Linked DNA regions of Notamacropus eugenii. The protein of the gene in region 1 purifies or fractionates together with the protein of each later gene. This does not show direct contact. Links are inferred from orthologs where the notes say so. Each region holds a gene or a part of one and is shown on either strand. Other genes may lie near its edges.

The links. Proteins that work in one complex are often made in the same cells at the same time.
Region 2: the proteins of SLC12A6 (region 1) and RAB6B purify together in Homo sapiens (affinity purification with mass spectrometry; 4 studies listed by BioGRID and IntAct, with this or other methods). This does not show direct contact. The link is inferred for Notamacropus eugenii from reciprocal best matches to the Homo sapiens genes SLC12A6 and RAB6B.
Region 3: the proteins of SLC12A6 (region 1) and CLGN purify together in Homo sapiens (affinity purification with mass spectrometry; 3 studies listed by BioGRID and IntAct, with this or other methods). This does not show direct contact. The link is inferred for Notamacropus eugenii from reciprocal best matches to the Homo sapiens genes SLC12A6 and CLGN.

Annotation. Positions count from the first base shown.
Region 1 is NC_092878.1:17,216,619-17,227,192, reverse strand, and holds the start of SLC12A6 (solute carrier family 12 member 6), read right to left. Parts: upstream 4,737-10,574; 5' UTR 4,608-4,736; coding exon 4,337-4,607; intron 1-4,336.
Region 2 is NC_092876.1:334,780,565-334,791,377, reverse strand, and holds the start of RAB6B (ras-related protein Rab-6B), read right to left. Parts: upstream 4,263-10,813; 5' UTR 3,887-4,262; coding exon 3,817-3,886; intron 1-3,816. UniProt on the Homo sapiens protein: The small GTPases Rab are key regulators of intracellular membrane trafficking, from the formation of transport vesicles to their fusion with membranes. Rabs cycle between active GTP-bound and inactive GDP-bound states.
Region 3 is NC_092877.1:137,226,857-137,237,566, forward strand, and holds the start of CLGN (calmegin), read right to left. Parts: upstream 4,263-10,710; 5' UTR 4,144-4,262; intron 3,855-4,143; exon of another isoform or gene 3,763-3,854; intron 1-3,762. UniProt on the Homo sapiens protein: Functions during spermatogenesis as a chaperone for a range of client proteins that are important for sperm adhesion onto the egg zona pellucida and for subsequent penetration of the zona pellucida.

The sequences.
Region 1 (10,574 bases):
AACCACATATGTCTTGTCAGTTCTACCTCCTCATCATCTCTTGCATCACTTCCCTTTGTCACATAGTCACTGTTATAATCTAGATTCTTGTCATTTCTTGACTGGACTACTTTAATATGCTTCTAATTGGTTCCCCTGCTTTAATTTTGTGTCCTCTCCAATTCATATATGGCTGCACCATGACCCTTCCCACTCCTCCCAAAATCTTTCTAAGGTATAATTCTGACCATATCACTCTTCTGCTCAAAATAGTTCAGTGGGTTGCCAAGTGTCTATGGGATAATATACATACTCCTTAGACTGACATTTAAAATCTTCCATAGATCTGACTTCATTCAGTCTGTCTTACTAGCTGTACTTCACACTAGGCCCCTTCCATAAAGGATATATTTGGCTAAACTGTACTAACAGCCATTCCTGACCCCTGTTACTCTTATCTCCTGCTTTCAGACACACTCACCAATCATCCCAATGCCTAGAATGGACTCATCCCTACCTTTCAGAATACTTGTCCTGCTTCAAAGTTTCAACTCCCCAAATCTTCCCAGGTCTCCCCAGTTTTTAATATTCTCTGCAATCTAGAATGACCTTGTATTTTCCTATCTGCATATAGGATGCATGCCCAACAAAATATAGGCTCCCTGAGGACAGGGTCTATTTCTTTTTGGTTCTCCATGCCTTGCATATAACATACACTTAGTAAATGTTCATTCAACTGAATTAATACAGGAACATAATAGAATACAGGCGCCTGTAGTTTAAACAAAGATATTAAAATATCTACTCAGAAGGATAACAGCAAGATAAAAAATTAAGATACAGGAATGAATATTAAAATTTTTACCTGTAACTCAAAAATAAATACATAAGGCAAATATGAATAAGCTTCCCAGCAACTAGAAGTGTAGATAGGGAAGTTCTATCACAGGAGAAATTCTTTGGTAAATTGTGAAATTTATAAGAAAGGAGTAGAATCCTACAATGACAGAGCAATGGAAAAATTAGGGAAATAAAAAGGGCAAAAAAAATTCACAGAATTAAAAAAAGTCTAAATTTTAAATAGATTTTAGTTGATCTGAAGGGAGTTGAGGTTACTGAGGTTAATAATGAAAACAGCAGTTTACGTTTGTATGGTGCTGTAAAGGTTACTAAGAACACGGTAAAGAGAAACAACTTTGAAAGACTTAAGAATTCTGATCAGTGTAGTAACCAACACTGATGAAGCATGCCATCTCCTACCCATCTCCTGACAACGAAACTGAGAGATTCCAGGTGGAGAATGAGATAGTTTTTTTGAACATAGCCCATAGAGGAGTTTGTTTTTTTCGTCTATTCATATCTATTACAAAGATTTTCCTTTTTTGTTGTTGTTGTTGGGGGGGGTAGATCTAAGTGAGAAAAAATATAATTTTATTAACTGAAAAAAACAGTAAAAAAAGTTTACTATGCAGATCAGGTATATTCTCTCATTTGAACCTCAAAACTAATGTCTAAGGTAGTTCACACAAGTGTAATTATCTCTATTTTATAGCTGAGGAAAGTGAAATTTAGGTATTCTAAGAGCCTTGATTGAGGTCATGCAGCTGGTATATGATAGAAACGTAGCTGTGATTCAATGGTCCGGCACCTAAGGCCATTCCAAATACGGCATATCCCTACCTTCCTTGCCTTTTCTTATATTGCTTCCCCACATCTATTCTAAGCTCTGGCCAAAGTAGACTACTTGCCATCCCATTTGTTTTTATGTCTCCTTGACTTTGTTCACCATTCCTGGAATCTGGTATTATCTTGTGTTCTACTCTCTTTGATTAAAGCCCAACTCAAATACTACAACTGAACACTAGTTATTGATGACCTTTCCTTCCTGAAGGACCTCAAATAGTTCTTTTTTATGTCTTTATCATATATTGGAGTTTTGGTTCTAATCTGTGATTTTATAGGTACAGGGAGTATTCCCTTTACTAATACAAACTTGCAGATGTTATTCAACTTACAATTTTAGAGTGGCTTGAGATATGATTGGTTAAATGACTTGATCCAGTTCACAAAGTCAGCGTATGTCAGAACTGGGACTTGAGAACAGTTATTCCTGACTAAAGATGGCTCTTTCCTCCACACCATGTAGTCTTATCATGTATTAATTTGTATTACTGACATTGTAGATGTCATATTTCCCTACCAGACTATAAGTTCTAACAGAAAGACAACATGGTTTATGAAAATTTTGTATTTCCCCTGTGCACCAAACATAGTGCTCTGTATATACCAGGCAAGTAATAAAAGTTTGGTGACTTTTATACCAAGTTTGTACCAAGGACAATGTTAGATTTTTTTGCTTTGTTTTACTCTACTACCACCCCGAAGAATACACACAGGACATTCAAGTAAGTAGGAAAATTTGTACTGGGTGACTATCACAATAAAGATCCCCATGAATAAAGAAAAAAATTGTTGGATAAAATAGAAAGCTAGTGTTTAGGAAAAAGGAGAATATAAAAATCTAATCATTAGATTTTTCAAACATTTTAAAGACATAGAACAGGGTAATTCCTCATATATTGAAGTAGATTAGGATGACTGAAATTACAGTGAAATACTCTCAGAGAGTTATGCTATAAATTCCATACTCACACCGAGTGTGATTTGGGTGTCACTCATTTTTCTAATTCTGCATCCATAATATGAAAACCAATGACATGTACTATTGCTTGTTAAAGAACATTCAAAGCTATGTTAATAACAGCATCCTGAAAAAGACATATAGTTCTGCAACCATGACAAACTACTGAAAAAAAATCTGGTTAAGGTGACAGTTATACTTTATAATGCAATTGATAAAAATTTATGGAATGTAATTCAACACTGAGCTACACAGTAAATAAGCATTTTACTTAGTCACAAGATATATTCAAACTTTATTGAGCACCATTAATTTGTAAGCCCACAAGGTCCCTTATTTAGACTTACAAACCTGAATATAGTATGATGGATAAAGGACAAAAAAACAATAGAAAATACATTTTAAAAAGCTAATAATATGAACTCCATTAGGTAGCTGATTTCAAAAACTTTATTACAATGCCTAAATCTTACATTTTATAGTTCAAAATTATCAACCCCTCACTGTAACATCCCCACAGAAGTTGAGTTAATCAAGGATAAACAAATTCTGTGATTGAAATAAACCAATCTTCTCTTGTTTAGAGAAAAAAAAACAACCGAATTAACAAGTAAAATCATTACCCCATCTTTTCTTCAGAATAACATTTCTGAACACACACAAAAATGACAAAACAGCCCCTCTTTCAGAAGTTTACACAATTCAATCATAGGCTGGTGCCTATGATTCAAATTACAGTAAAGTATTTTAAAATAACTATCTTAAAACAAAAAAACAGCTATCTTTAAGAAACTTCATTGAAAAGCTCCGATCTAGTTAATATACAACAAACAATGGAGACCCAGGGCAGCACAGTACAGCGGTTCTCAAACTTTTCTAGTTGATAACTTTTTTTTTTTTAGCACTACTGTAACCTCTTGTCATTTTCACTTCCTTCTTCACTCCTTTCCCCTATAACAAATAAGAAAACACAAAGAAGTACAACCCATAATACTAGGAAGAAGAAAAGAAAACCTATGAAGTACAAGCTATATATGACCTGTGCACTAATATGAGGAGGGAGGAAAGTCAATAAGGCTCATCTGTTATTTAAAGGGTAATCTACAGTTCCTTCAGAACTCTCTGCTTTGAGAAACGATGGTCTAGAATTGAGCAGTAACGACTATCATCTGTAACCCTACATGACCTTGTGCAAGCACTTGGCATGCCAGCCTTTCTGGAAAATAAGAACTGCTTAGAAAATACTGGAAGGTAAATAATATTATACTATATAATAGCATTCTGAACCCTCTGGAGGAAAGGCAACTTATAAATCCAAAATACGATCATTACTTAACCAGTCCTAAAGACAAGTACAACCTCCTGGATTTCACAACCAAGCATTCTTTAGGATAAAAAAAGAAAAATTAGCTAATACCTATCTTCTCTTAAGCAGAAAACAGAAACATCTTTTCAATTACTCTTGAGAAAAATACAGAACTCAAACAGTTTGCTACATGAACAACAGTATTTTATATAACTGGATACTTATGTCCACAAGGCCAATGGCCTCAAAGCTCCACATTTCCTTCACAATGAAGGCTTTCTATGGTTCTGTTAATAAATGAGTATCAATCTCACCTAAATACTACTTAGTGGAAAATCCCTTCGCAACTGGTCAGCATCCTGGTTGAACGTGATAGCTACAAATGTATCCTTCTCACTTCTTTCACTTACCTTCAGTAACATCTCGGGGGTTGGAGGTCCGATCACTGGCTGCATCCACAGCTATGGTTGCCAGTGAGGTGGTTGCCCCTGACATTTCACTCATGGGCTCACTACGGCTGGTTTCAGGCACACTTTCCCTGGAGCTAAACCGAACACGGGAACTGGACCGAGAGCTGAGATCCGGGCTAGTGTCTGACAAACCTGGAATGTCATCGATCTTTGTTGGTGTCACCATAAACCGAACTGAAGCCATCTTGGTGGTGGTTTCTGGAGGATGCATTTTTTTTTTTTAAAGAACAAGAAAATAGCAAAACAAAACAAAAAAATCCTTCCTCTTATGCAGATTACTTTTAATCTTGACGTTAGTAATAATAAACTCAATTCTTGAAACAATCACAAACCAACCAAAATAAAGAATATTCCTAATCAGAAAACTGTCCCAGAGCACTAGCCAAATACACAAATCACTAGGGGAAGAAAATAACGCCAATTGTGTGGGACCTCGTTCCTTCAGAATGAGTAGATATCTAGAGAGCTCCCTTGGCCCTACGTTGAAGGCTCCCAGCCATAGTCTCTGTTTTGGGAAGTGACACTACCCTTCTGCCCCCTCACTCTCCCCCAGGTTCTGGCTGAGGTAGTCGTTTATCAGGTGAGTAGCCCAGGGTTCTAGTTGCGGAGGAAACGTGCAGGACCACCGTTATCAGGTGAACATAGCATGGATCTGGATACCAAGAGGTGTGCACCCAGCCACCTGTTGTGTATCAGGTGAATACCCCACAGGTCTGGCAGAGGGGAGGCGTGTGCACCGACACCCGACGTTTTTGAGGCAGATAATCCACTTGGGTCTGGTGAAAAAGGTGCGCATGCATAACGGGAGAAATATCCCACACCACTTTGATGGAGGAGGTGAAGGAGATGGATGTGAGAGGCAGAGGAGGAGGAGGAAAGGATGAGGAAGAGGGGGCCAAGGAGCAGAGAGGATTCCAGAGGTGCCCAGCTGCAGAGGGGCGTGCGGGGGCAGCTGCCCGTTGTTCTCCAGGCAGCGCGGTCACACCGGGGTCTGGCAGACAAGAGAGAGCGGGCAGACCCAGCCCAGGCTGCGGCTCAAGGATGTGGCAGGCAGATCGTCCCCAGTCATCGGTCGAGCCGCCGACCGGTCACTCACTGGGCTGCTCCCGCCGGTGCTAGGACAGGGCCCCCTTCCTCTCCCAGGAGACTTCCTCCCCCTACCAAGGCTCTGGCACAGCTCAGCCCCTCGCCGGCCTTCCTCCGCCAGACACGGTCGCGCGTGTCCCCTCGGGTCTCGGGCAGAGGAGGAGATGACAACGCAGGTTGTCCTCGGCTTCCGAGAGAGGAGAGGATGGAGGAAAGGGCGAGGAGGAGGAGGAGGAGGAGGAGGAGAAGGGGGAGGAGGAAGAGGAACCAGAGGAGGATCTTTCTATCAGGTGCTGAGATCACAGGAGCCCAGCTGATGTAGGATGCGCGCGCAGCGGTTGTTTACTAGACGGGTAACTGTTTCAGCCGCGGCAAATTAGGGCTAAGGAGGCGGGGCTTGACGCGGCTGACGCGCCGGGGGAGGCGGGGGGAACGAAGAGGGGAGAGGGGCGCGCGCAGCCTTCTGCCGGAGCCCCGCCCCCCCGCAACCTCTCCCTCCCCCTCCCCCTCGCCGGGCGTGGGCTCGAGCCGCCGCAGCCTTTCCCCTCCCCCCCCCCCCCCCCCCCCCCTTCGAGCGGCTTCAGATCGAGGCTAACGGGCAGAGACAGAGCGTGCTGCGAAGCCGCGGGGAACGTTCCGAAGGGCGGAAGAGCCCCGCCCCGAGCCCCGCCCGGTGCACTTCCGCCCCGCTGCCCTTCTCGGAGGCTGCAGGACCACGGGCCGGGGTCGGCGCGCCCCCTAGCGGGCGTCCTGCTGGACCCTGCCCCGCAGCCCTCGGCGTGGGCCTAGCGAGGGTGGCGGAGCTGACTTGTGTGGGGGCAGGGAGGGGGACCTCGGAGGAAATGGGGGGGGGGGGGCGGCGGAAATCAGACCGGAAAGAGAACCTTCCACAAGTCAGTCAGCCCCTTTGGGCCTCGGTTTCCTGTGAAGTGAAGCGGTTGGACCCGATGGCTTTTAAGGGTCCTTCCGGATTGTGGGGCCAAAGGATCCGGGTTCAGACCCTGCGGGTGACCCCCTGCGGGTGACCCCCTGTAACCCTGAGCCCCTCCGGGCCTCGGTTTCCCGAACTGTAGAACAAGGCAGCCGGAGTAGATGGCATTTGAGGGCCCCTTCCCTCTCGATCCGTGCTTCTGCCATGCTCTGGAAAGATCCATAGCGATTCCTGCTTTCTGCCGGGCCAGGTCATGGGCTTTATCAGACTCCTTGGAGGTCGTTCGGTCCGGCAGGTTCGGGAAGTGACGTGTCCAAGGTCACCCAGCTGGTGCAGGAGAGCCACATGAAGACCTCGCAGGATCTGAGAGCTGGAGCGAATCTCATTTAATCTCATTTAATCTCGGAGGCCTGGTGATTTGGAGGTCCGCCGGGGTTCCATCCTAGCTCTGCCCCCTGTGACCCAGAGTGTCCTCAGAGGTACAAGTGCTGGAGGAGGTTTCTAAGGCTCTTCAAGACATCCTACAGATGAGGAGACTGACGGTCAGAGGGCACTGATTGAAATCTGAAGTCTTCCAGCTGCCCAGCCAAAGCCAGAACTTCTTCCAATACTTATTGAAGAACCGCTGAAAGCAATATTTTCTGTGCCTTCCTCATAATGACTTTTGATCTTTGTTTGGCAGCATGTGTGGAGGTAAAGTGAAAAAAGGAAAATGTACCTTGAAAATAGCCTGAGAAGGACACACCGTTGAAAGCTCCTAATTTTTAACATTAGCCTGTTTGGTGTTGTCTGGGGAAATGTTATTAGAGACTTAATCCTAAAGCATAGGACCCTCAAGATGAGTATTGGAAATAATGGTTTGCACAGTTAACTTTTATTGTTGTTTGTAAGTATTATAACCTGACGGCCCAAATTAGATCTTAAATTCTGTGGGGAGTAAGGATTGTAAAGCCAATCACTTCCGTGCACTTGAGAACTGCTGCTGTGAATGATTTTAACAGTCTAATCACATAGTATAATGAACTCTATTTAGCAATAAGCTAAACATGCTTAAGCAAAACAGATCATCTGATACGCATATCGTAACAATAGCAACATCCTTAATCAATAACAAGTGTCTGAGTATTGTGTGTGTTTGTCCTTTGATGCTGAAGAAGGCCATACCGTCAGAGAAATAATGACAAGACTTGCACTTGACTGGTTTTTTTTTTGAGTGAGGGAGGGCTGTGCAGGTCACCAGCCTTACTTGTCCCCTAGAGCCATCTGAATCCAGTGACCAGATATTCATCAGGATAACTGGAGATGACCCAGGATGAGGCAGTTGGGATTAAGTGACTTGCCCAAGGTCACACAGCTAGTGAGTGCCAAGTGTCTGAGGTGAGATTTGAACTCATGTCCTCCTGACTCCTGCACTGGTGCTCTGTCCACTGTACCACCTAGCTGCTCCAGTATTTTCTTCAAAATACCACACTAGCCACCCCTAGGTCACAGTAAGAACAATCTTCTTAATACCAAGTGTCCAAGTGAAGTCCTTTCTTATCTTGACTCGAGGTTGACTTCCAAACCCTCCTTCTCTATGGGCTGACCACTCCCAGCTCTTGCCTGGGCTCACATGCAGGCAGCTCTCTGTGCCTGCTCCTTGTTTCAGCTCATGGGAACTGTTCCACTCCAAACTTTTCCTGTTTCTGCCTGATAGGCACCAGGGGCTCCTGCCTCCCAGCTTTTGTTTCTAGGAAGCAAGGCTTAACAGGCCTATAACCATATTTATACACATTACTAGTGCCATCATCTCAATTCACTCATGAAGACCAACAGCCAGGGCTCCTGTCTGAGAAATTAGCACAGATCAACAGACAGGGCTTCTTTCAGAGGAATTAACACAGACCAACGGACAGGACTTCTGTCAGAGAAATCAACACAGACCAACAGAGCTCCAACATCACAAACATGCTTTCTGTTAGGCCTCCCCATAAGCAAGTTCCCCTAGCCCCCTCACAGTCCCTTTTGTCTTAGCTCTGCTTTGTCTCTAGAATATATATATAGTTTCTAATCAAAGACTCTTGATTGATTCAATCAAAGGCAAGACTCAATCAAAGGTATTTGATTGTCCAAAAGTCAAACAGCAAAAGATCCTACTTTGCTTACTGTTGGAGGAATATATTTTCAGTAGCAGAATTAATAATTTTAAGAGTTGGAAGGGACACTAGATCTGATAACTCCTAGCTCTGGGCTTTTTCCATAATGCCACCTAAATACTTGTCTTAAGGTATGTGACTTTTCATGGTGGTCAATAAATGTAGATTGACATAAATAGACTCATTTGGGTGTTATTTGGCTTATTAGAATGTTAAATGTTCTCAGATACCAGTGAATGACTACTTTTGCACTTTTCAGGCCAGCTTTGAGTCATTCCTCCTCACATTTGGTTTAGGCAGGATTGCATTAAGCAAACAGCCCTGGGAATAAATTAATGTATACATCCAGATTTAGTAATACTTTTGCAATTAAAGTTTAAGCCAGGGAAACCCTACTCTTATTTCCAAATGACCCACAAAACCTCAGAGTCCAGCTCTTTAATACTTAAGCAGCCATGTAGGAAAGAGAAAGAGATTATTGCAATTTAGAGAATGGAATTCCCATTTAATGTTGAAGCTAATCATCTTTCATATAGCTTTCAATTCTCCATTCTGTCCCACAGCACTATTTTCTGGCCTGCTTCCAAGCTGCACACAGCTCTGACCCATTTTAGACTTCCAATCACAAAATTGTAGGGACTTGGAAGCCCTTGATTTCCCAAAAGGTTAACATGTCCCTTCAGCTAGGGTTGCTGTGAAGTCAGCTCCCAGAGATAAGGTGTCTAGACTGCTTTTTCCTGATTAAGAGCTTTATTTGAATATATCACTAACTTATTTCTGATAGTGCTTTACATTTGTATAGCACTTGACAGGGTACAAAGTGCCTTCACACATATGATTATGTGCTCAGTAGGCTACACAATAAATAGGGCAAGCCTTATCATTCCCATTTTACAAAAGTACGAACAGACTTGGAGAAATTGTTACCTCAAGGTCATACAGCTGGTGAATGGTAGAGGCAAGTTGCTGACGCTATCCAGTTCTCATTCTTTGATCAATTCAACAAACATTTTTAAGGACCTGTGGCATACAGGGCCTTGTTTGACTAAGGGATTTTTTTTAGGGGGTGGGGATGGGAAGCACTCTGAACCGATTTCATCAGTGTGAAGAATGGAAATGCCCCGTACCAAAACATTAGCAACTGATAATAGGCTTAGAAAGTTGACTGGGACACATTGTCAGGTTAAGTAACTTGATGTGAAGTCAGTGTGTTTCAGGCAGTACATGAAGTCTTCCTGACTCCATAACACCTATAAGTTTGTTATGCTATACTGCCTCTCAGTGGGACTATGGAAATGGAAAATGATACTGCTCCCCAAAATCTCATACTCTATTCAATTTAATTGTAGCTACGTGGTGAAGTGGATGGAATGCTAGAGTCAAGAACTCATCTTTGTGAATTCAAATAGTAAATCACTTCACCCTGTTTGCCTCAGTTTCTTCACCTGTAAAATGAACTGGAGAAGGAAATGGCAAACCACTCCAGCATCTTTGGCAAGAAAACCCCAAATGGGGTCACTGAGGATCAGGTGAGACTGAACAATGCCATGTGCCTGTTGCTGATCCTGCACCAGTGGAGACATCTTTTTACACCAGCAGTTACCTAAGTAGAAGAAATCACAGGTCTAGACCAAATAGATATGTACATATCTACTCTGTATATAGGGTATACGTATACGTAGCACATAGGGTTCTTGAAGGCTGTGTCAATAGATTATAAACTGATTGGTATCCAAATGTAGATGAATACTATTAGACTTGTTACCTGCAGAATTAGTCATGAATTCCCTGTCCTTGCACATGCCACGTGTTCCTTTATATATGTGCCTCTCCATTTTAGAACTCTATGGACATCTACTCTTCCTGTTTAAGATTTATGAAATTGAATGCTCTAGGTTTATGAGATAAATTGCTACTGTCCTTATTGTGTCATTTCATTTCCTCTGATTGACTACAAGTAAGCACACTTTTTTTTTTTTTTGAGTTTTGAGTTGTAGTTTCAAAAGGAGCAGACTCATGGAGTACT
Region 2 (10,813 bases), on another chromosome or scaffold:
TCTACATTCCATTATTTTATTATGGAAAATTAGAATAGGGATAGAATAGAGAATTTAAGAGCTACAAGTGTTCTTAGAGATCCTCCTTGACTTTGCATACATTCCATATCTGGAATGCCCTCCCTCCTCACCTTCAAATCAGGGAATTCCAGCTTCCTTCCAAGCACCACTGAGGTTCCCTTTACTACATGAGACCTTTGCTGATGCTCCCAGTTGTTTGTACTTATTTCCTTTGGAAATTATTTATCTATTACTTTATATAGTCTTTGCATTTATATATATATGCATATATACATGTGTGAATATGTACATATGTATATACCTACACATACATAGGTATATATACTGTATATACATATGTGCATATATCATGCGTGTGTGTATGTACACACACATATTCCCTTGAGGTTAGGTACTATTTTAGCATTTTGTCTTTTTACCTTCCTGCCTCACACAACATCTTGTACATAGTAGGCTTACTCTGAATTCAACTGAATTAATGGAATGAACCTCCACATTTATAAGGCTCAGAGAGACTGGGTGAATTACCCAAGGTCATAGAACTATTTAGAGGCATCCTAGACTCCAGGTCTCTGGGATTTCAGTTCAGTGTTTTCTCTAACACCCCATTTCTTTGTTTACATTTCCGAGAGGTCTTTAATTTTCTGTCCTCTTCATTCCCCATTTCTCAGCCAAGTAATTAACATGTAAAAGGACTGAGGGAACTATTTCAAGGCATCCCAGTATTGATGGAGGGCTTTTGAAATGCAAATAATCATCTTCTAAATTTTTTTTATTTGCTAACTTGGTCAATTTTCTTAAAACCTGGTAATCATACCTTATGTCCTGGGGAATGGGCTATACCCTACACAGAGAATTCTTCAAAAAATTGTATTACCTTTAAAATAGTTTTCTTAATTGAAAAAGTTATCTTTTCATTCATCTTTTTTTTCCTGCCTCTGTTTTCTCTTAATTTCTCTTTATCTTTAGTCTTTCATCTCTTACTTATGGATTTCCTTATCTCTCCTGCCTCTCTTGGGCTCTGTTCTTTTCCCAAGTCAAGGTCATCTAAAGGCCCCAGAATTTGGTACCAGGTAGCGAGCCATCAGAGTGGGAATTGGGAGATCTAGACTTTATTGCTGGCTCTGTTCACTTGACCTTGTGACCTCGGGCAAGTCACCTTTGTGGACCTCAGTTTCTTAATCTGCAAAATAAAGAAGTTGAATTGAATACTTTTTAAAGGCCCAAGTCCAGCATGCATTTTAAACTCTTCAATATTCTATGATCTAAGTAGTTTACAAAGCTTCATCCCACCCTATGGACTAGCGAAATAAGATGAAGATTTTCTTTCAAACTCAGACTAAAACACCTTATCCCTTAGGCTATTTCTGGTGCCCTATGGCTAAATATGGTCATAGAGCCATATTTAGAGATGGAAGGAACCTTAGAGGCTCCTTAGTTTAACTCCTACATTTTACAGATAAGAAAACTGAAGTCCAGGAAGGTTGACTTACCCAAGGTCATAAAAGGTAGTTGGGTAAGGATTTGAACCCACATTCCTTGATTTCAAATATCTCACTCAGGCGGTGCATTGTCTCCCTTATATATATGTCTAACACAAATGGAAATTCCCCTCCCTCCGAAAGCCTAGACCTGGGATCTCAGATGAATAGAGCAGGTCTCAAGCTGGAGAGAACCTATGCATTTACTTCCAGCGAGAGAATAAGAATGCCCAACTCAGTGAAAATGTTGTCTGGGGGATGATGAAAAATTCCACTCACAGAGCTCCTGTCCCTTGGGGCAAGTTAGAAATGTCAAGTTAGGCCCAAGGAGAAAGCACCCAAGTCTAATGAAAGGAAACAGTCTCCTGAGTTTCAGCCCCGTGCCTGTGCTCAGACGTTTAAATGCATCCAGGAGCCAGGGAGGAGAGCAGTCTCTCAGCCCTAAGGCCGCAGATCGCCACACCCACTCTCAGAGCTGTCAATGTGCTTGGTCCCTCACACAGGCACAAGATATCAAACAACGTAGCTATGAAGAAGAAATCTGGATCAGTCTAGAAGGATAAGATGTTGAGTTCTGGGAGAGGCTGGGCATGAGAGACACACCTTTCACATAGTTCATGGATGCTCTTAGCTGAAAGGGGATCACAGGCCCTATCTTGGCCAGGAGTGTGACCTATTCCATGTAAATGCAGATACACCTCCTTTCTCAGATTGAGGAACCACATTGAAAACCAAACTAAACACTCATCCTACCCATAGCTCCACTTCAGTAAGTATCATCAAAGATCAGAGATGGAAGGAAACCTAGAAGGAAAAACTAGCTTAACCTCTGAAATTTACAGATGAGGAAAGAGGCCCAGAAGGGTTAAGTTACCCAAGGTCACACAGCTAGTAGGGCCTAGGACTAGAACCTAAGGGCCCCCCGAAATCTCAGGTCAGTGCTCTTTCTACACATTCCTCTCCTACCCCTACCCCCACTACCTCTTGCTCCCTTTCTCTTGGCCTGTGACTTCTGAAACCTCCCTGGTCATTCTCCACCAGAAAATTGCCTCTTAGAGACCAAGAGCCAAATAGAGGGGCAGCCCCTCCTGTGGCATAGCAGGAAAGAGAAGCAGCAGGTTCCGCCCGTCATCCCTAGTCAGGTCTGGTAGACTGGCTGCTTCCTTCTCCTTCTCCCTCTTCCTCCCTGCCCCCTCCCCTGGAGATTTTTTTTTCTCTGTTATTTATGATGAGAGATGGCAGGAAAGAATGACACGTTCACACACTTGGTGGAAGGACCAGGGTGTGTCTCTTCTCTCCTTTCTTTGCAGAACCAAAGCGGCACAAACCTCTTGGGAGTAGTCTGACTTTCTCCACCTGATGTCCCCCCACCCCCCCAAAAAAATCCCTCTCCTCCTCCAGTCTTCCTCGGGGCACCTCTAGCGAGAAGCCTGAGAGGTAAGAAACAATCAGTCTCACCGTCATCACCTGAGGACCCCCTCCCTAGCAAATAAACACAAGACTAGAAGAGATGGCCAATACTAGAATCTTCTATGCCCAGTTTGAGGTGAGAGGCAAGGCATTAATATTGAAGCTACTTCCTCGAACCCCAGTCTCTCCAATCTTCCTGGAAGAGCAGAAGCATTAGCAAGTTTCGTGGCCCCCCCTTTTCTTTCCCTGAAACCAATTTTGACTTGGGGGGGGGGTGTTCATATTCTTCTTCTGCCTTCTGCAGCTTTCTCCCATGCCCAGAAGCAGCCACGCTTGAGATCCCGGCGGTGCCACTCGCACACTGCCCACCGTTCCACGTAGGGGCACAGTTCCAACCATCTAAGTCTCCAACACGCCGCCCTCCCCCACCTTCCCCCCAAAGCAGACGGGGTGCACCCCAGAGCCCAAGTCCTGGTGTAGGAATAAAAGGCAATCGGGCTGCCTGCCCCAAGCCCACTCCCTCCCCGGTCCGAGCAGAGCCCACCCAGTATTGCGTGCAGCACTAGCTGCCGCACTATGCAAAGCGATCGCCAGATCCGGAGCCCATTTCCAGACTCCAGCCTCAATCAGTCGCCCGGCTGAAGCATCTTCCTGCCCTCCCTCCGTCTGCCCCCACCTCCACGGCCACCCTGGTGCCCAGGGGCCACTCTAAGTGTTTTATTTCCTTTGTGTGTGGGCGGGGGGGGGGGCAGGGTAAGGTGTGGGGTGGGGATGGGGGGGGCGAGGATGAAGGGAAGGTGTGCACTACAACTGCAGGGAGGTTGAGGGATGGAAGGGAGTGGGAGAGAATCCAAAGTGGCACCAGACTTAGCCTCCAACCCTGGCAAATAAACCAGCTACTCACCGCTTTGCTCCCCCAGGAAGACCAATTTGAATTTTCTCAATGGGTTCCCAAAATCTCCTCCTGCGGACATGGTGTTGGCTCTGGGGTGTGGGAAAAGGAGGAGAAGGAGTAGGAGCGAGAGGAGGAATAGAGAGGGGAGGACTGTGAAGAGGAGGAAAGGGATGAGGAGGAGGAGGGAAGAGAGGCAGGCTACGATCCAGAAGGGGGAAGGGCTGGATGCAAGCGTCGCCGGCTCTGCAGCTTCCCCCGGTCCCCTGACTCGGGCTGCGCTGCGGAGGAAGGGGTGGAGGAGAATGCGGAGGACGACTCAGGATGCCGCCCGCGCGGGCTGCAGAGCTGGAGGGAGGGCGCGAGGTGTCGGAGCGCCGACCGTCTGAGCACAGGGCTGGGGATGCTGAGGCGGTGTGATCTCGGCGAGCCGGGGGCTGGAGCTTCTCCCCTCCCCACCTCCAGCGCCTGCGCCCTGTCGGCTCTCTCCCATCCTCTCTGATGTCATGCAGGACCGACAAGCCAATGCAGTGCTGCAGGGAGGCTTTGCCTAATGCATCTGAAAGGAGCGGGGGATGGCTGGGGTCACTGTCTCACCAGCCGCCCCTGCTGCCGCCCCTGCTAGAGGAGGCAACGCGCCCTGGACGACGGGGCGAGCAGAGTGCCCTGATCCTTCACCCCTTACCGCCTCGCTCCCACCCTCCCCCTTTGAGCCCAGAAAGGGCTAAGAGAGTGGGACAGAGATATTTATTTCCTACAATGTCAAGCTAAATCTATCTGCATTACTCCAGATCAAAGGGGAAGAAGCCCATGAATTAAACACCAATATACACCACAGCTGAGTCCATCTAGGAGAGAAAATGGAGTGAGAGAGAGAGAGAGAGAGAGAGAGAGAGAGAGAGAGAGAGAGAGAGAGAGAGAGAGAGAGAGAGAGACTGAAGGGGAGAGGTTATTCCTTCCACTCTAGACATCTCCAGCCTCCACCCTTTTCTCCACACAATGCTGAGGAAAGATAAGGTCACTAGTTAGAAGTATGCTGCACAACAGCTCCAAAACCAGAAGCAATTTTTAAAATCTAAATCTCATATAATCACTTGGAAACATGAAAAGTAGGGGATGGAGAGGGAGTGATTGCTAAAAGGTAGATAAATCCAAGAGTACTCAACTCCACCACCTGACGATGTGGCTCACACAAAATTCTACCATCTTTCAGAAAATAATTTGCGTTGGAGTTCTTGAATCTCAGAGTCCAGGGTCTGAGAGCTCCAAAGATGATCTAGTCCTCTTTCTCTTACTGCCAGACAAGAATGTTCCTAACCCTGCCTAGAGAGAAGAAATGGTGTTTGTCTTTCAAGGTCCCCAGTGGAGATTAAAATGGCTTCTTCGATTGTCCGTTCTAGTGACTGATGGGCCATCATTCCCCAGAAGATACTTCCCCCTATGACCTGAATATCTCCTCACCACCCAGTTCTTGGACGTCCTGCTTTCTCTGGAGCATGAAGCTTCCAGCAAAACAATCCAGGTTTGGGCTGACGGAATTAACAAAAGGAAGAGGAGACTCCTCTGGCAGAATTTTCTCCCATCTTAGAGTGCTTGGCCTGTTCTTTCTCAGCGTTCTTTCCAGAATATAACATAGAGATCAGTGAGCTAGAGAAAGGTCATTGAGAACAATCTTTCATCAGCTCACTGTGAGGTACCAAGCAACATCCAAGATGGACTTGAGAACAGTGCCCTGACAAGTGTTGGCTTTGATGAAATAACATTGCCACCCATCTCCCTCCTCCTGAGTCCTGTGCTTAGTGCCTCCTCAAAAGTACACAATGCTTTCAATAGTGTCCCTAGACCCTCTTATTGCCGAAGAAACACTTTTATATTTCAGTGGATCTGTGATGTCATCAATATAGGCATTCCCTCTGTCACAGCAGGTCTCTCACCTTCTGTGCCTTCTCACCTTGATACAGTTCTAGTCCATTTCTCCCAAAGATTCTCCTAAAAGAATTCCCTTAATGTGCTGTAGGTCTTCATGTGTTTTGAACCTGCTTTGTGTTACAGAATTCTTGGGCAGTCTGGTAAAGCATATCCCTTCTCAGAATGAGATGTTTTTAAATGCATAAAATAAAATGCATAGGATTACCAAGAAAACCAATTCTATGGAAATATAGTTATCAAAATGTTTTCAAAAATTAAGTTTGTGGACATTCAGGTTAAGAACTGCTCTAGACTTTTTTTTTTCACATTTCTTGGGTAACAATGGAGAACTGTTCATCTGTTGTATGCCACACATGAACATCCTGCCTTCTTGTCTGATCACACATTTTTCCAATAATATCCCTCATGGCACTTGAACAGAGATTGTCTTTGGAAATAGGTTTCAACCCACTTGCATACACCAAGCAGCTCTCTAGCTCTATAGTGAAATGAAATTTTGATTCTTTGGAGTTCATGCTGGTCCAATATTGGCAATCATGTACTATCGCCAACAGACCGTGTAGTTTGCTTGTTTATTCTATAATGATTGCTCTTTGTGTCAGGAAGCAGCTTGGATTGTTAATAGCTCTGTTCTGTTCATTTTTCACTCACTAAACTTTGTCAGCAATCATTTATTAAGAACCTACTATGTGCCGGAGAGTGTTTTAAGCACTAGACTCATTTAGTTTAAGGCTAATATCCTTTGAATACATTTTGAGAAAGCCCCTCTGATGATCTGAAGCTTGATATCATCTGCAAACAGAAGTGTCTGGAGGAATTCGCTGTCCACATGGAATCCCTCTTCTGTTTGGACATAGAGCTAAGTATTGCCTGTGACAGTGGTGAGAAACTGGTGAGTATACATTTTCCTGTGCTATGCCTCTCTTGACATACAAGAGAGTTAGGGAACAAAGTTATGTCTGTGGTGGCATTTATGAAGGAATCTTTTATGACCATAATATACACATGAGAGATTTTTGGTTGAAGGAAATTCTTTAAGGCTAAGTTTTGCTCTAGTATAGAGCAATTTTTATTGTAACCAACGAACAATAAACGTAGCAGAACCTTGTATATTTTGACCCTTTCTGTCACTTATGCTACTGTAACGTGTTCTCTTGCAGACTACCATTTGTGAAAGGCTGACTGTTCCTCTTGCATATTTTCATCAAGAATAACCTTGATATATGGTCCTCATTCTCATAAACATTTTATAAAGATGAGAAAGTAAGAATATAGGTCAGGAGTTATTGATGTTTTTTCATTCACCTATTTTGGAGAAATAATAATGTCCATGACTTTTATTCCCATTCTTTTGGTATCTTCTCCTCCCTGAGATATCTTATAAAACAATTTCTTATTGCTGTCAAGATTCTATTACTTCCAGCATGAATTTGTTTTGTGTGTACTTCTTCTGGCCTAGTTGATCTTTTCAACTTTATTTTCTAAAGTGCAATTTCAACTTTTTATATATTGTACCAGGCACCAAGATGATAGGGAACAAATATGGTGATTCTCTGTCATTGATGAAAAAGATGGTGTTATAGAAACATTGGCAGATTTCTTCCATTTTCTATTGGTTTAATATTCTCCTAATTTCATCTATCAATGCTGTTGGGATGATGTGGTTCACTTGGGTCTCACATCAGGCTTTCTAATAGAGAATAATTTTCACTTTCATGGCTTTTCTTTGCTTTATGAGGGGGGAAAACATCAATAAAAGATTTGAGAATTATGATACACACCATGACTTGAAAGTTGGAGCAGTATGCTTCCCATCTTCTGTCAAGAAGGTGGTGGACTATAAGTATAGAAAAAGGCATATATTTTTCAGACATTGCCATTGTGTTAATTACTTTTGTTTAATTAAATTTTTGTTACAAGAGATGATTCTAATGGGGGGGGCATGTTGTATGAGGGAGTAATAATTGGGAAGTCACAGTAATGAAAGAAAAAGGAGCATGAGTAAAGTATTTCTTTTTTAAAAGAAGCATAAGGAATGTCATCAAGGAGAAATATCTATAAAAGAAGCCATGCTGGTCATGTTGTTCTAGTTCAGGATAATAGATAGATCATCTGAGTTCTATATTGTACCATCTAAATGTAGAAAGACTTACAGGATGTGTTCAGCATATTGACAGGAATCTCTGAGGAAGGATCATGGAAGAATGTGGATAAGAATTCCACAGGACCAGAAGTCACAGATGTTTTGTGGTCTGTACCACAGATCCAATACCAATACTTCCATCAATGAGATATTTCTATTGAATTATTGAAGAAGGTGTCAATGATTTCATAGGTTATCCTGCTTCTAGAGGAATTATTTTTTTTAAAGAGGAAGACAGATTGACCCAAACGAACACATATGTAATGGTAGAATTTCAGCAACCAGGTGGGAGAACTGTTTAGAGGTAAAGAAGGGGAGAGAACTTTTCAGCAAACCAAAATCACAATACCTACTCTTCAAGTTGATTCTTTATCTTCACTTGCATCAAATACTGTGTTCAGTTCTAGGTACTATTTTAGGATAATAATAAGTTGGAATAAATCCAGGAGAGGATAGATTGATAGACAGATAGGTAGATAGGTGATAGATAGATAGATAGATAGATAGATAGATAGATAGATAGATAGACATAGAGATCTCCTTCCTCTCACTGAGCAATTAAAAAATTAAATATAATACTCTTAGAACAAATGCATAATATATTCCAACAAAAGAAACTCCCACATTATTCATGTCAAAAATGTCTTACCTACATTTTAAGTCCATCACCTCTCTGGCAGGAGACGAATGGCATCTTTCATCTTTAGCCCTTTGAACCTGTGGTTTCTCTTTGCATTGATTAGGGTTCTAAAGTCTTTCACAATTGTTTTTCTCTATAATGTGTGATTATGTTCTATTTATGTTCATTTCTTTCTTCATCATTTTGTACAAGTCGTCCTAGGTTCCTCTGAAACTCTCATCCATCATTTCTTATATTACAGTAGTATCCTAACATATTCATATTTTGCTTAGCCATTCCCCAGTTGATGGGAACCTTCTTATTTTCCAGTTCTTCGCCATGAGAAGGGTTGCTATAAATATCTTTATACATATAAGATCTTTTCTTCTTGCTTTAATTTCCTTAGGGTATAGCCCAGTAGTCACATAGCTAGGTCAAAGGATATGGCCGGCTTAATATCTTTATGGGCATAACTCCAAATTGCTTCCAGAATGGCTGGGTCAATTCACAGCTTCAGTAACAGTGCATCAGTGTGCCTGTCTTCTTGCGGCCCATCCAACATTTGTCATTTTCTTCATGTGTCACCTTTGCCCTCTGATGGGCAGGAGGTTGAAGCTCAGAGTTGCTTTAATTTGCATTTTGCTAATTATTAGTGCTTTGGACCATTTTTAATATCGTTATTGACAGCTTGGATTCTTTCAAAGCTGTCTGTTCATATCCTGAAGCTATTTATCTATTGAAAAAGCTTACATTCTAATGACAGAAGATAATACATTAAGGGGTCCTGGAAGAGGGAAGGAGAAGAAGAAAAGGGTACCTGCTTGGAACCATGATGAGATGTCTGTGAAGTATTGTAGCGGCCTGGGCCCCATCAAAATAAGGTAAAACTCACTTTTTAGAAAATCTGAATGATTAGGGGACTTGAAATGACTCTGTGTGTCGTAAGTATAAGCTATGAGTTGATCGAAAGGACTAGACTGAAAAGTTGATTGAAGGGACTAGAGATGTTTAAGCTGGGAAAGAGAAAACTAGAGATGGGGCATGATTATGTTGTTTGTTGTTTAGTTGTTTTCAGTCGTATGTTACTTTTTTGTTACTCTTTTGGGGGTATTCTTGGCAAAGACACTGGATTTGTCATTTCCTTCTCCAGCTCACTTTACAGATGAGGGAACTCATCTATTAAGTGACTTGCCTACGGTCACACAGCTAGTAAGTGTCTAAGGTCAGATTTGAACTCAGGAAGAGGAGTCTTCCTGATTCCAAGAGCGGTGTTTTATATACTATACCACCAAGCTGTCTTTAAATATTTAAATTAAAAAATTAGATAAATATTTAAATAAATATTAAATATATTTAAACATTTAAATTTAAATGTGAAGGAAGGCTTAGACTTGTTTTGTTTAACCCTAGAAGACAGAAATAGAAGCAATAGATGGAATTGATAGAGGCAGATTTTTACTCAATATAAGACTGTAAGTGACATCTGCTATCATCTTCCCATACAACCCCAAATACTACTCCTTTTGGGGGGGGGGCAAGTATGTGAAGCAGTGGATATAGTGCTAGGCTTGGAGTCAGGATGACTCACCTTCTTGAGTTCAAATCTGGTCTCAGACACTTACTAGCTATGTGACTTTGGGCAAGTCACTTCCCTCTGTTTATCTAAGTTTTTTCATCTGTAAAATGAGCTGGAGAAGAAAATGGCAAACCACTTCGTATCTTTGCCAAGAAAACTCCATACAGGGTCACAGAGAGTCAGACATAACTGAAACAACTGAACAACAACAACCCCTTTTTTGAGCATCTTTCCTACCAAATATAACATAACTCCCACCACAACCATTTTTGATTATCCTTAGTTTTTCTCATAAGGCTTAGACCATTCTGAGCCTCAACACTCATGCCATTATTACTGTATTGTGATATTCTTTTGGATGCATCATCTGTTATATAACTTTTCTTCCATCTTCTGTACATACTCAAATGGATCTGTGATTTCGTTCATTTGAAAATTCCTTCCAATAATTCAATCAACAATCTCCTCCGTGTCTGCCCATCCTGTGTAACTCTAACCATGTCCTGTTTTAAGCTTACCACAAGGGGTCTACCCACCAAACCAAAGGCCTCCCTCTAGACATCACTAGAATACTTATACTCTGGTTACCCACATATCATCCTTCACTCTTTTCTTCTCTTCCTTGATGGCAACATGTATTTCTGTTCTGGGGATTCTTCACTGGTTATGTGTTGCATTCTGCTCTCAACGCCCATGCACTTCTCCATTGCCCTCTGTTTGATTCATTTTAAATTATTTGGAT
Region 3 (10,710 bases), on another chromosome or scaffold:
TGTTATTTAGATTCCCCAAAGTGAAGTGATTTGAGGACGCATAACTCCTGATAAGAATGCCTTTACTAAAGTATTACAGCACTTAGTAAATGTGCTATAAATAAACTATATCCATTTTAGCAACTTACTTGCCAAAACTTTCCCATTTAGCTCAATAAAAAATGAGACGCAGCTTTATTTTTAAAATATAAATGACTAAGAAAATTAATTTTATATACCAACATAGCAAAGGTCAATAAATTGAGAGATACATATACCAGAAGCCAAATTAAGTGTGTAAATATTTAGATATTTATTTAGATAAATATTCAAATTACACCAAAAACCTAGATTTAAAAGGTCAGAAAAGAGGTGAGCAACGTAGACAATAGCAACGATAGTAATATACAGCACCTGAATGTTTGCAAACAAAAATGATGGCCAAAATACAGTAGAGAGAGACCAAAGTAACCCTGACACCATGAAACAGATAAGAGATAAACATTAGATGGGAAATGGTGGATAAGTAAATCTATACACTGAACAAGAAAAAAATTACTTTGAAGGAATTATTAAGTATAAAACCAAAGACAATGTAAAATGACTCTAGAATACACTACAAAAGTTATGATACATAACTTTAGCTTGGCCTGAACTGATGTTGACAATCCTACTCTATCTTTATCCATTCAACTATTTCAAAGTTTTTTTTCTTTCCTCCATCTATGCCATCACCCTTATACAAGATGACAGCAGCTTAATTCTTTAAAGAAACTGTGGTGACTTAAACATGGACTCAGTCCCCTAGCCTTCTGTCCTCCATTCACCCAAATTTCTCAGCATTATCACCTGCTTCTTCCTGGCAATACTTACTGCTTAATAAGGCAAATATCACCATCTGTACCCTTGGTCCTATGCTTTCTACCTTCCTAGATCTGCTAAATAGTGCATTAAGTGGATTCAGAATTGACTGAATAACTGAATAACAACCCAAGAATTGTGGTTAATTGACTAAGTTCTACTTTGAGAAAGTAGTTGATTTTTCTGAAATCAATCCCTTCTCTGTCTTACAGCACAATAGTATTCCATCACAATCATATGCCACAACTTGTTTATTAATTAGCTTTTCCCCAACTGATGGATGGGCATTCCTTCAGTTTCTAATTCTTTGCTACCACAGAAATTGCTGCTATCAGTATTTTTGTACATAAAGGTCCTTTTTCTTTTATCTTTTTGGGGTCCAGACCTAGTAGTGGTGTTTCAGGTCAAAGGAGGTGTCTAAACTTCTTGAAAATGCTGTTTATATATGCTGTCTCAACTTCCTTTCCTTCCAATAGATTCAAAACCCTGAGCAATCTCATTCTTACCTCAACATTCAATTCCCAAAGATTTGAACAGTCTTACATGACAAATCTATTCATTGTCTTTTCTCAATCTATGTCCTTCTTGAGCTCTCTGCAGCCTCTGACGTCATTAATCATCCTTTTATTTCTGCATACTCTTCCCTCTTATAGGCTTTCAGGTCACTTTTTCCTGTGGTTCTCTACCTACCTAACTCTTCCTTCCCAGAGACCTTTTTTGCTGAATTTTCATTTGGGTCATGCCCAATAACCATGAGTGTGGTTCTCCCCCCTCACCCCGCTACTCCAAAGCTCTGTCCTTGGTTGTCTTCTCTTCCACTATCTTGCCTGATGATATCCATGAGTTCAATGAACAATTAATTTCTAAGGAGATGATTCATATATCTACATACCCAGCAGTAACCTCTCTCATGAGCTCCAGTCTCCTTCCACTGCCAGCTGCCTTCTGGACATCTCAATAGCGGATGTTTCATAGATATCTCAAAATGACCATGTCTAAAACAGAACTCATTTATAATCTTTTTTCTGCAAACACAATCCCCTTTTACAAACTTCAGAGTCACACAAGTGTTAATGTTGAAGGCGGAATTGGAATATTTCTGGCTTCTAGGTCCACATATCTACTATTTTTTCTTGAAGAGTTGTCTACACATCTACACTTGTCCCTGCAGCCTCACTACTCTCAAGTTCTTGGTCTTACCATTTCTTTCCTGAAATTGTTCCCAACAATGGCCTTAATTCACTAGGCCCAATACCTCCTTTTTAGTTCTCATCCTGCCTTCTCCTCAGCAAAGAAAGTCCCTATATTGCACATTTAGAAATCTAACTCAGAGTTGTGAGGTATTCTTCAAATGAGATCATGTATGTAAAGCACTTTGCAAACATGAAGACATTGTGCATGTCAAATATTCATGATGATGAGATTGCTAGATGTACTGTGTCACACAACAGGCACGAACCTACTGACATGAAGACAGGGTGGCTATTAAAATAAAGCTGATAAGATCACCAGGATAACGTCTAAAGGAATAATCAGTTGTTTTTTTCATCCGGGGACCCTACCACAAAAAGGGTCTGTTTGTCCTTAAATGAGCGCATGGAAATAAACTGAATTGTCGGATGTCAAAGTAAACTAGCGAGATAAAACAAATGCTTTGTGTAATCACCTCCTCACAAGCCAGGGACCATGATCACAATGGGTCTAAAACGCCATCTCCAAGTCAAACTTTCAAAGTCACAGAATTTTTGGCTTTTGTAACTGCAAACTCCGTGAATGATTCAACATTTGGCCAGCCACTGAGTTAACTGATTTTTGCTCCAATATTTATAACTATTTCTAGTCTCTGTTTTGTCCACTCTCACATGTTCGGCTTCTTTTTATTTCATAAATATTTACTAAGCAGAGCTTTTCACTCTATTTAAAATGTTCAAAGGGACCATGGATCTGGACTAGAAAAAGGCTTCTCAGAAAGTCTTCTACAGAGGTGAATGGACTTACTCAAGGTCATTCGGGTAATAAATAAGTTATAAGAGGCAGCACGGGAACCTACCCAAGTAATCCAGAGCTAGGAAGAACTCATCAATAAAAAGTTCTCAAAAGGGATACAAGTACTTTAGGGGGGGATGGATAAAACAAACATGTTACTCAGTCCAACAACAGCGCGGGAAAAAAATCCAACAACTGCCCAAATCACCAAGTCGTAGATCTTCAGTCTCAGCAGACACCTGTCAAGGTACTGTCGCAATGGTTGCCGTAACTTAATTTTAATTTTGCAATGAAAAAGCACAGAAAATTGTTCAGTGCTGAAACCAAGCGATGCACTTCCAAAGAGCCCGCCACCTCCTCCGGACAGAACGTCCCCGACTTAGAGTCTAACCCCACGACGTCAGCCCAGACGAGCCGCAGCGGCCCCTCGGCCCCTCCCCCGGGACCGTGGCTCCGGCTCCAGGAGCGGGCGGACCGCCCCCCGCAGGCCGCCTCCTGCCCGGCGCGCCCCTAACTCGAGCCACTGATTAAAGTTAGGGTGAACTCTCCCGGGCGCGCCGGGACTCAGGCACCTCCCCCTCAGCCTCTGGGGTCGCCGAGCCCGGGTCACGCCAGAACCGGAGCCGCCGGCCGGGGAGAGGACGGGCCCGAGGGCTGAGCGCCGACAAGGTGCGGGGGTGAAGGGGGCCCTGCGGCGGGGGCTCGGACTGCCCCCGAGGGCCCGGCGGAGGGGGGAGGGGCGCGGCGGTCCAGCCCCAGTCTCTCCTGGGGCCGGCGAAGACGAAAGGCCCAGAGAGGCGGGCCCCTCAGAGGGTGAGCCCGGGGGTCTCCGCCCCGCCGGCGCCAAGCAGACCCCGGCTAGGTCCCGATCCCAGGCGGGCTGCGCCCCTTCCACGCCCCGCCCCCCGCCGTGGGGGCTCCCGTCCTGCCGCGTACCTGGCTCCGGGGACGCGCGCTTCTTCCCGAGGGCGGGGGCGCGCGGGGCTCGAGCGCCCAACGCCCGGGCACGGAGGCGGGAGATGGTAACCGCCGCTATAACGGACTCGCGTCCAGCCCCGGCCGGCCCCCTCCCCCTCCCCCTCCCCCTCCCCTCACGTCCCAGGCAAAGGCGGGGGGCGGCGGGGGAGCCCGGCCGGCCCCCCGGGCGCACTCAAGCCCTCCTCCCTCGCCGGGGCCCAGGAGGGCCCCTCCCCCATTCCTCCCTCCCCCCGTCTCCCGGCTCCCAGCGGACTCTCCTCTAACAACTCCGACGTCGCCCCTGCGCCCCCGCCCCGCCCGCCGCTCCGTCCCCCCCTCCGCCCCGCCGAAGTCACGCACCTGTGCTCGGGGCGGGGGCCCTCGGTGGCGGCGCTTCGCCCGTCCGGCCGGCGGCCACAGGGTGGTCACCCCACCACGAAACCGAAGTCGCCGCCGGCCACTTCACGGCTTCTGCCAACGGCGCATGCGCGAGCGGCGGCACGCGACGGCTCTCCCTGAGCTCGCGCCCCTCGGGACGGGGGGGAGGGGGAGCGCCCCCCGGGGCCGACGGGCCCCGACGGGCTTTGGCGCACGCGCTCTCCCGCAGCTCCCGAGTCCCTCGGGCTGCTGCCTGGCGGCCGTGCGAGCGGTCGTGGGAGCGCCCCGGAGCAGACGCGAACGTCCCCCGAGGCCTGAGAAGCAGGCTCGGAAAAGTGATGTCCCAGTTCGGGCAGGAGCGGCGCGCCGTGGGAAGCACGCTCACCCACGAGAATGCGTGGACGCCGCTTCTTCCTGGGGGCTCCGGCCCGGGATGGTCCCGAGAAGTGGCGGAGGAAGCGTGGCGGCGGGGCTGACCCGGGGCATTCCTGCGGAGTCCGCCTTCGCAGTGAGCGCCACCGGGAGGCTCCGGACCGCCCGGACCCAGGGTTTGGATCGCGCCTTTGGAGCCCCTGAGGATGTCGGACCCGAGAAGATGGGGGCGGGGAGGCGCTCTGCGGCCTCCCCGAGAAGGGCTCCGAGGGCAGCGAACCGTCCGCAGGGCTCAGCAGCCCGGGAGGCCTGGGCTCCTGCCGGCGTCCTGGGTAGGAATGCCGGACGCTTGCTAACAACTAGAGCCGTCCGAAAGTGGAGCGGGGCGCTCCGGGGCGGCATTGAGGCACGGGCTTGTCAGGGGTGTCGTGGGGCTGGAGCGAGGGGCATCTGAGGTTCCCTGATGGACCTTCCGGGCAGGTCCAGCACACCAGGGCCGGCCTGAGAGGTTCTTGGCAAACACTTGCTCAAGTGTCTGAGGCTGGATTTGAACTCTGGGCTTCCTGACTCTAGGCGCAGGGCTTTATCCACTGTGCCACCAGCCGCCTCGTATACACGTAAAGTCAGGAAAACCTGGCTTGACCAGGCCGTTTAAACTTTAAGTATTCCAGGCTAGAGGTGTCAAACGAGAGGCAGGCAACGTGACCCACAGCGCTGCCAGACACAGCCAGAATCGGGAAATATTTAACAAACTGTAATGACATAATACCACATTGTGAAACTCAACCAGGAGGGAGCTTACCGGGATCCCGGGGAAGGTTTAGTGGCGCTCTGTTTCTAGCTGATTTTCACACTGTTCTAGGCAGCTCTGCATTTCAGAGAAAGGAACAGGCTGTGTTGGTAGAGGAAGTTCGCTTAAGTGGGAATTCCCCAAACCAATGAAATCCCAGTCCCTATGATGGGAGAGAAGATAGGCTGTTCGTATGGCAAGAATGAAGGATGACAAGTGGACAACCCTGTCAACTTTAGGAGAGATGGAGAAGGGCCTGTAAGACATTGGGTGAGATATCTGTCTGTCCAGTTTTTGAAAGAACCTAGATGACTGTGAATTGGGTTGTTGAAGCGAATTGTTCTATCAGTGAAATCACTTCTACGTTTGGTTATCTTATTTCCACAGTTAACAATTATTCACATTTTACAGGAGAGGAAACTGAGATTGAGTAGCCTGGTCAGCAGAGAGGAAAAACCAGGTTGAGGATGGCCAGAAAGCCTCAAAACTGCCAATGAGTTAGGGGGAGTGTCTACCCCAAGCATGCAGAGACTTCCCCTGGTGGAATGGGCAAATGAGAACAATTTGTTGCAGTGGCCATGAAGGTGGCTGAAGCAGGTGGTGTGAGGTGCTTAGAGCTTGGTCAGACATGGGGCACACCATACACAAGAAGCAGGATGTGGTAAGGGACAGGGAGGGAAGCAATGAGGTACCTTTTTAGTGGAATTGACCTGAAATGATTCCTTCTTCCCACTCAGTAAAGGAAAAAAAAATCAGAATTTGCCAAAATTGGTATAATAAAACTTGTACTACCCCTCTCAAAGTATTGTAAAGAAAGTGTTCTGTTGATCTTGTATAAAAGTAAATGTTTTATTTCAATAAATTCTTAAAATAAATTGTATTCATAACATGTACTATAAGTAGTGATATGTTATCTTCAACTGATATCCCACTTAGTATATGATTGATGGCCACTTTTTATTCCTCTTCCTGTTCCCAACAACATTAAGTAATGGCCTTTGTCAAATTATGTATTTTTCTTCCATAATGTATCCACTTCTATCAGCAGTAAACTTATGAGAAATTCCCACTAGCAAGAGTCCTGTCTGAATCGTCATTGTATGTGCCAGCCAATTCAAGAAATAATGATTGTTCGAAGGGAAAAGCATTAGAAATTAATAAGTTTTGGCTGCCGCAGATGATGTAATTGCTACTGTTTTGTCTTCTCACATATTACAAGAAGGATTGTCTTAGTGGGCATTTATGTTGAATGTATTTATTTCTATAGGAATAATTTACTGTATTTTGCATATTTTCTGTGTTAGAATCTGTCCTGATCTTTCTATCTCCGTCCCCCATTTGGAAAAATCTAAATTAATATAATTTGTGGTAAAAGAAACTAGTAATATGTAATTGCTATTATATTTTTACTAAAGTTTTTATTTGTCCTTACTAGAATTTGGGAGAGGAACGCATTCAGACATTGCCACACGTATATTTGCAGGAAACTATCTACTTATATAAATCTTTGGTGTACCACATGCCTGTTAAATTATATTACTTATAAACAGGCTTTTAATAGTGAATTGATATTGCTGCCTTTAACAGAAAATGCAGATTCTCACGCTGGGGAAATAAATACATGTGTGTATACATATATGTGTGCATATATATACATATGCGTTCCTTTGTCAGGTTTCAGAGTCTAGGTTTGAAACTTATTCTACCAAACCTAAGGACGTGATCCTAGAGAGATGGGCTGAACACTTCCACAGTTTACCTCAGGTTGTAGTCAATCCCTCTTTAGCTGAACTTCCAACTGAAAAAGAGGTTTTGAGGACCATAGGCTCCTTTCATGTGGCAAAGCACCTGGTGCTGATTCTATTCCAGGTGAGATTTACAAGGTAGGGGGACCGTTGCTCATACAAAAGCTGACTGAAATTTTCCAGGTTATGTGACAAGAGAAGGTTATCCCCCAGGAATTCAAGGATGCTTCCATTTTTCGTCTCCATAAAGGTAAAGGGAATAGATTGTCCTGCAGCAATCACAGGGGGATCTGTCTCTTAGTCATTGCTGGCAAAATTCTTGCTAGAGCCCTTCTTAATAAGCTGAGCCCTCATGTGGAAGATGGTCATATACATGAAAGCCAATGTGACTTCAGAAAGGGCCAAGGAACAGTCAATATGGTGTTTGCTGCCCGACAACTCCAGGAGAAATGCCAGGAGCAGAACAGAGGTCTGTATACAACACTTGTAGATCTAACCAAGGCCTTTGACACTGTTAGTCATGAGGGCTTATAGAAAATTATGTCAAAATTTGGTTGCCCAGAGAAATTCATCAGTATTGTACGTCAGTTTCATGATGGCATGTTTGCCTGGATTCTGGATAATGGACAAAGCTCTTGTGCCTTCCCAGTCACCAGTGGAGTGAAACAGGGCTGTGTGCTTGCTCCCATGCTTTTTAGCATAATGTTTTCAGCCATGTTGTCAAATGCTTTCAATGAGGATGAACATGGCATCAGCATCAACTACCATGCTGATGGTAAGTTCCTCAATTTGAAAAGGCTACAAGCCAAGACCAAAAGGGAGGGAGTAGTGGTGCATGATTTTCTGTTTGCAGATGATTGTGCACTCAATGCAACCTCTGAAGCTGAGATGCAACAAAGTATGGATCAATTCTCTGCTGCCTATGCTAGTTTTGGCCTAATAACACCAAGAAAACACAGGTGCTCCATCAGCCACCACCATCCATATGTGGAACCATCAATTACAACAAATGGAGAAGTTTCAAATGCTGTGGGTAAGTTCACTTACCTTGGTAGTGTACTTTCCAGGAATATACACATTGACAATGAGGTTGATGCACACATTGCCAGAGCTAGCTCAGTATTTGGGGGGCTCTGAAGAAAAGTTGGGGAGAGAAGAGGTATTAGACTGACTACCAAACTGAAGGTCTACAGAGCTGTTGTGCTGACCTCATTGTTGTATGCCTGTGAAACATGGATAATCTGTCACTGCCATGTCAGGAAACTGTATCACTTCCATTTGAACTGTCTTAGGAAGATTCTGAGGATCACCTGGCAGGATAAGGTACCAGACACTGAGGTCTTTGCTCGAGCTGAACTGACAAGTATTCAAACTATGCTTCAGAGAGCCCAACTCCAATGGGCTGGCCATGTTGTTTGAATGCAAAATGTACTCTTGCCAAAACAACTATTTTATGGGATAGGCAATCACATGGTGGTCAGAAGAAGCGATACAAAGACATTGTAAAGGTCTCTCTCAAGAACTTTGGGTTTGACTGTGACCACTCAGCATACCCACATCAGAAAGGGTACTGTGCTCTATGAGCAAAGCAGAATTGAGACAGCACAAAGGAAACATAGGATGCAGAAATCTGGAGTATCCACATCAAATGTTCATATAGATGATCTGTGCCCAATCCATGGTAGAACATTCCAAGCTCATATTGGTCTGATCAGCCATAGTTGTTCACACTGAAATTTTACTTTATCATGACGATGTCATTTTGGTCTTCTTCAAGAACGAGGGACAACAACCAACCAACCAAATCTAATTTACATGTACACTAAGACATTTGTTCAGTCTTTTTTCAGTCATGTGACTGTGACCCCATTTAGGATTTTCTTGGCAAAGAGACTGGAGTGATTTGCCTTCTCCAGCTCATTTCACTGATGAGGAACTGAGGCAAATGAAGTTAAGTGACTTGCCCAGGGTCACACAGCTAGTAAGTGTCTGAGGCCAGATTTGAACTCCGGAAGGGGAGTTTGTTTCCAGGACAAGTTCTCTATGCACTGCACCACCTAGCGCCCACACTAAGACCTACACTATAAGTTTCACAGGATTGAGGATCCCATGCGGTAGATGTTCACATACTGAGTGAAAAGGTCAAACCTTTTATCACCAAACTTGAGGTTTGTATGTTCATAATGTAAAGGGAAACTAGTCAATGCGGACTCAAGTCTTTAGAGCTTGCTTGGACTTACCCTTCTGGTAGACACTACAGAGTATATGCAGATATTCCTGCCTGGTTCCAGTCCAACACAGGCAACTTTGGGAAGCCTGTTTCTAACCAAGATGATTGAGGAGCTGCTACTGTGCTATGACCATGTCTCCTAATTGTCTGAGAAGCCAGAAGGACTAATGACTCAAGAAGCGTTGTACCAAAAATGAATTTGCACATAAAAAGCATGACTTGGATCTCTCTTTTTTGTCTTTGGCTGGAAGTGGGATAGCACTGTTGTGAGGTAGGTAGTGGTAAGGACAGCTACCTTGTTTCTCACGTGGTTGCTTGCAAGCACCTCACCTCTCTTTCTGTTGCATGCATTTTTTTATCCTAGTCTCAGGGAAATTAGTATTCTGAGAGGTCCAGGTAACCAGGTAATCCATCAGTCACTAGCAGAATCTGACGAAGTGGTAATCATTGATGACAGAGGTGGCAAGACAGTAGTAGTAGTTCAGGGTTTGTTATGTTTCATGATAGAAATACCAGCTGTGGATTCAAAAAAGGCACTGATCCTCAGAGACAAGCAGGGAGCTATTTCTCAGGAGAATTTCATGAGGACTCCACTATTGGAGAAAAGGACCTCAGGGCCAGGAATCTTGAGGTTCAACATGCTCTTTTCGTTTGTCTATACTTTAAGTTTGGGCCCAATCTTCCCATGGATTTTGTATGTGCAAGGATAGAGAACACTTATTTTGGGGGCAGCAGGTGCAATATTGTTTCTGTGATTCTTCCTATACCTTCTTATTCAATTGTTATTCAATCATTCAGTTGAATCCAGCTGTGTGGGACACTGTGGATCACAGAACCCCAGTACTGTCCATGGGCTGTTAAAATATTGGGAGTAGTTTGCAATTTCCTTCTCCAATGGATTAAAGAGATTAAATGACTTGCCCTGGGTCACACAGATAGAATCTGAGGTGGGAGAGGGGAGGATCATGAACAATGGTAATGAGAAACCTCAAAATCCTCAGGAGAAAATAGTCATTGCTTTCTAAGGACCCTACCTGCCAGTACTGTCAAGTGGAAGTTTGGAGACAGAACCAAAAATGGCACCATAATTAAGTTCATGGACCTTTGGCTGGATGGGACCTTATAAGCTATTTGGTCTTTAGTTGTTTTTTTCCTTAACAACAAAGGAACTGAGGCCCAAAGGGGTTATGTGACTGGCCCAATTCTCTTACAGAAGCAGATAAGGATAAAGACACTTAGAAAAGTCCCAGGAACTTATAGTCACTGGTATTACTGGGGGAAGTTACCATTCCCAGTTGTAACATCACACAATCTCTACTCCCCATTGTCAGGGTGGGCCAAGTTTGCCTTAAGAAATAACCAAAATCAAAATAGTTCTCAGCACAATGCCTGGCACATTGTGGGTGCTTAGT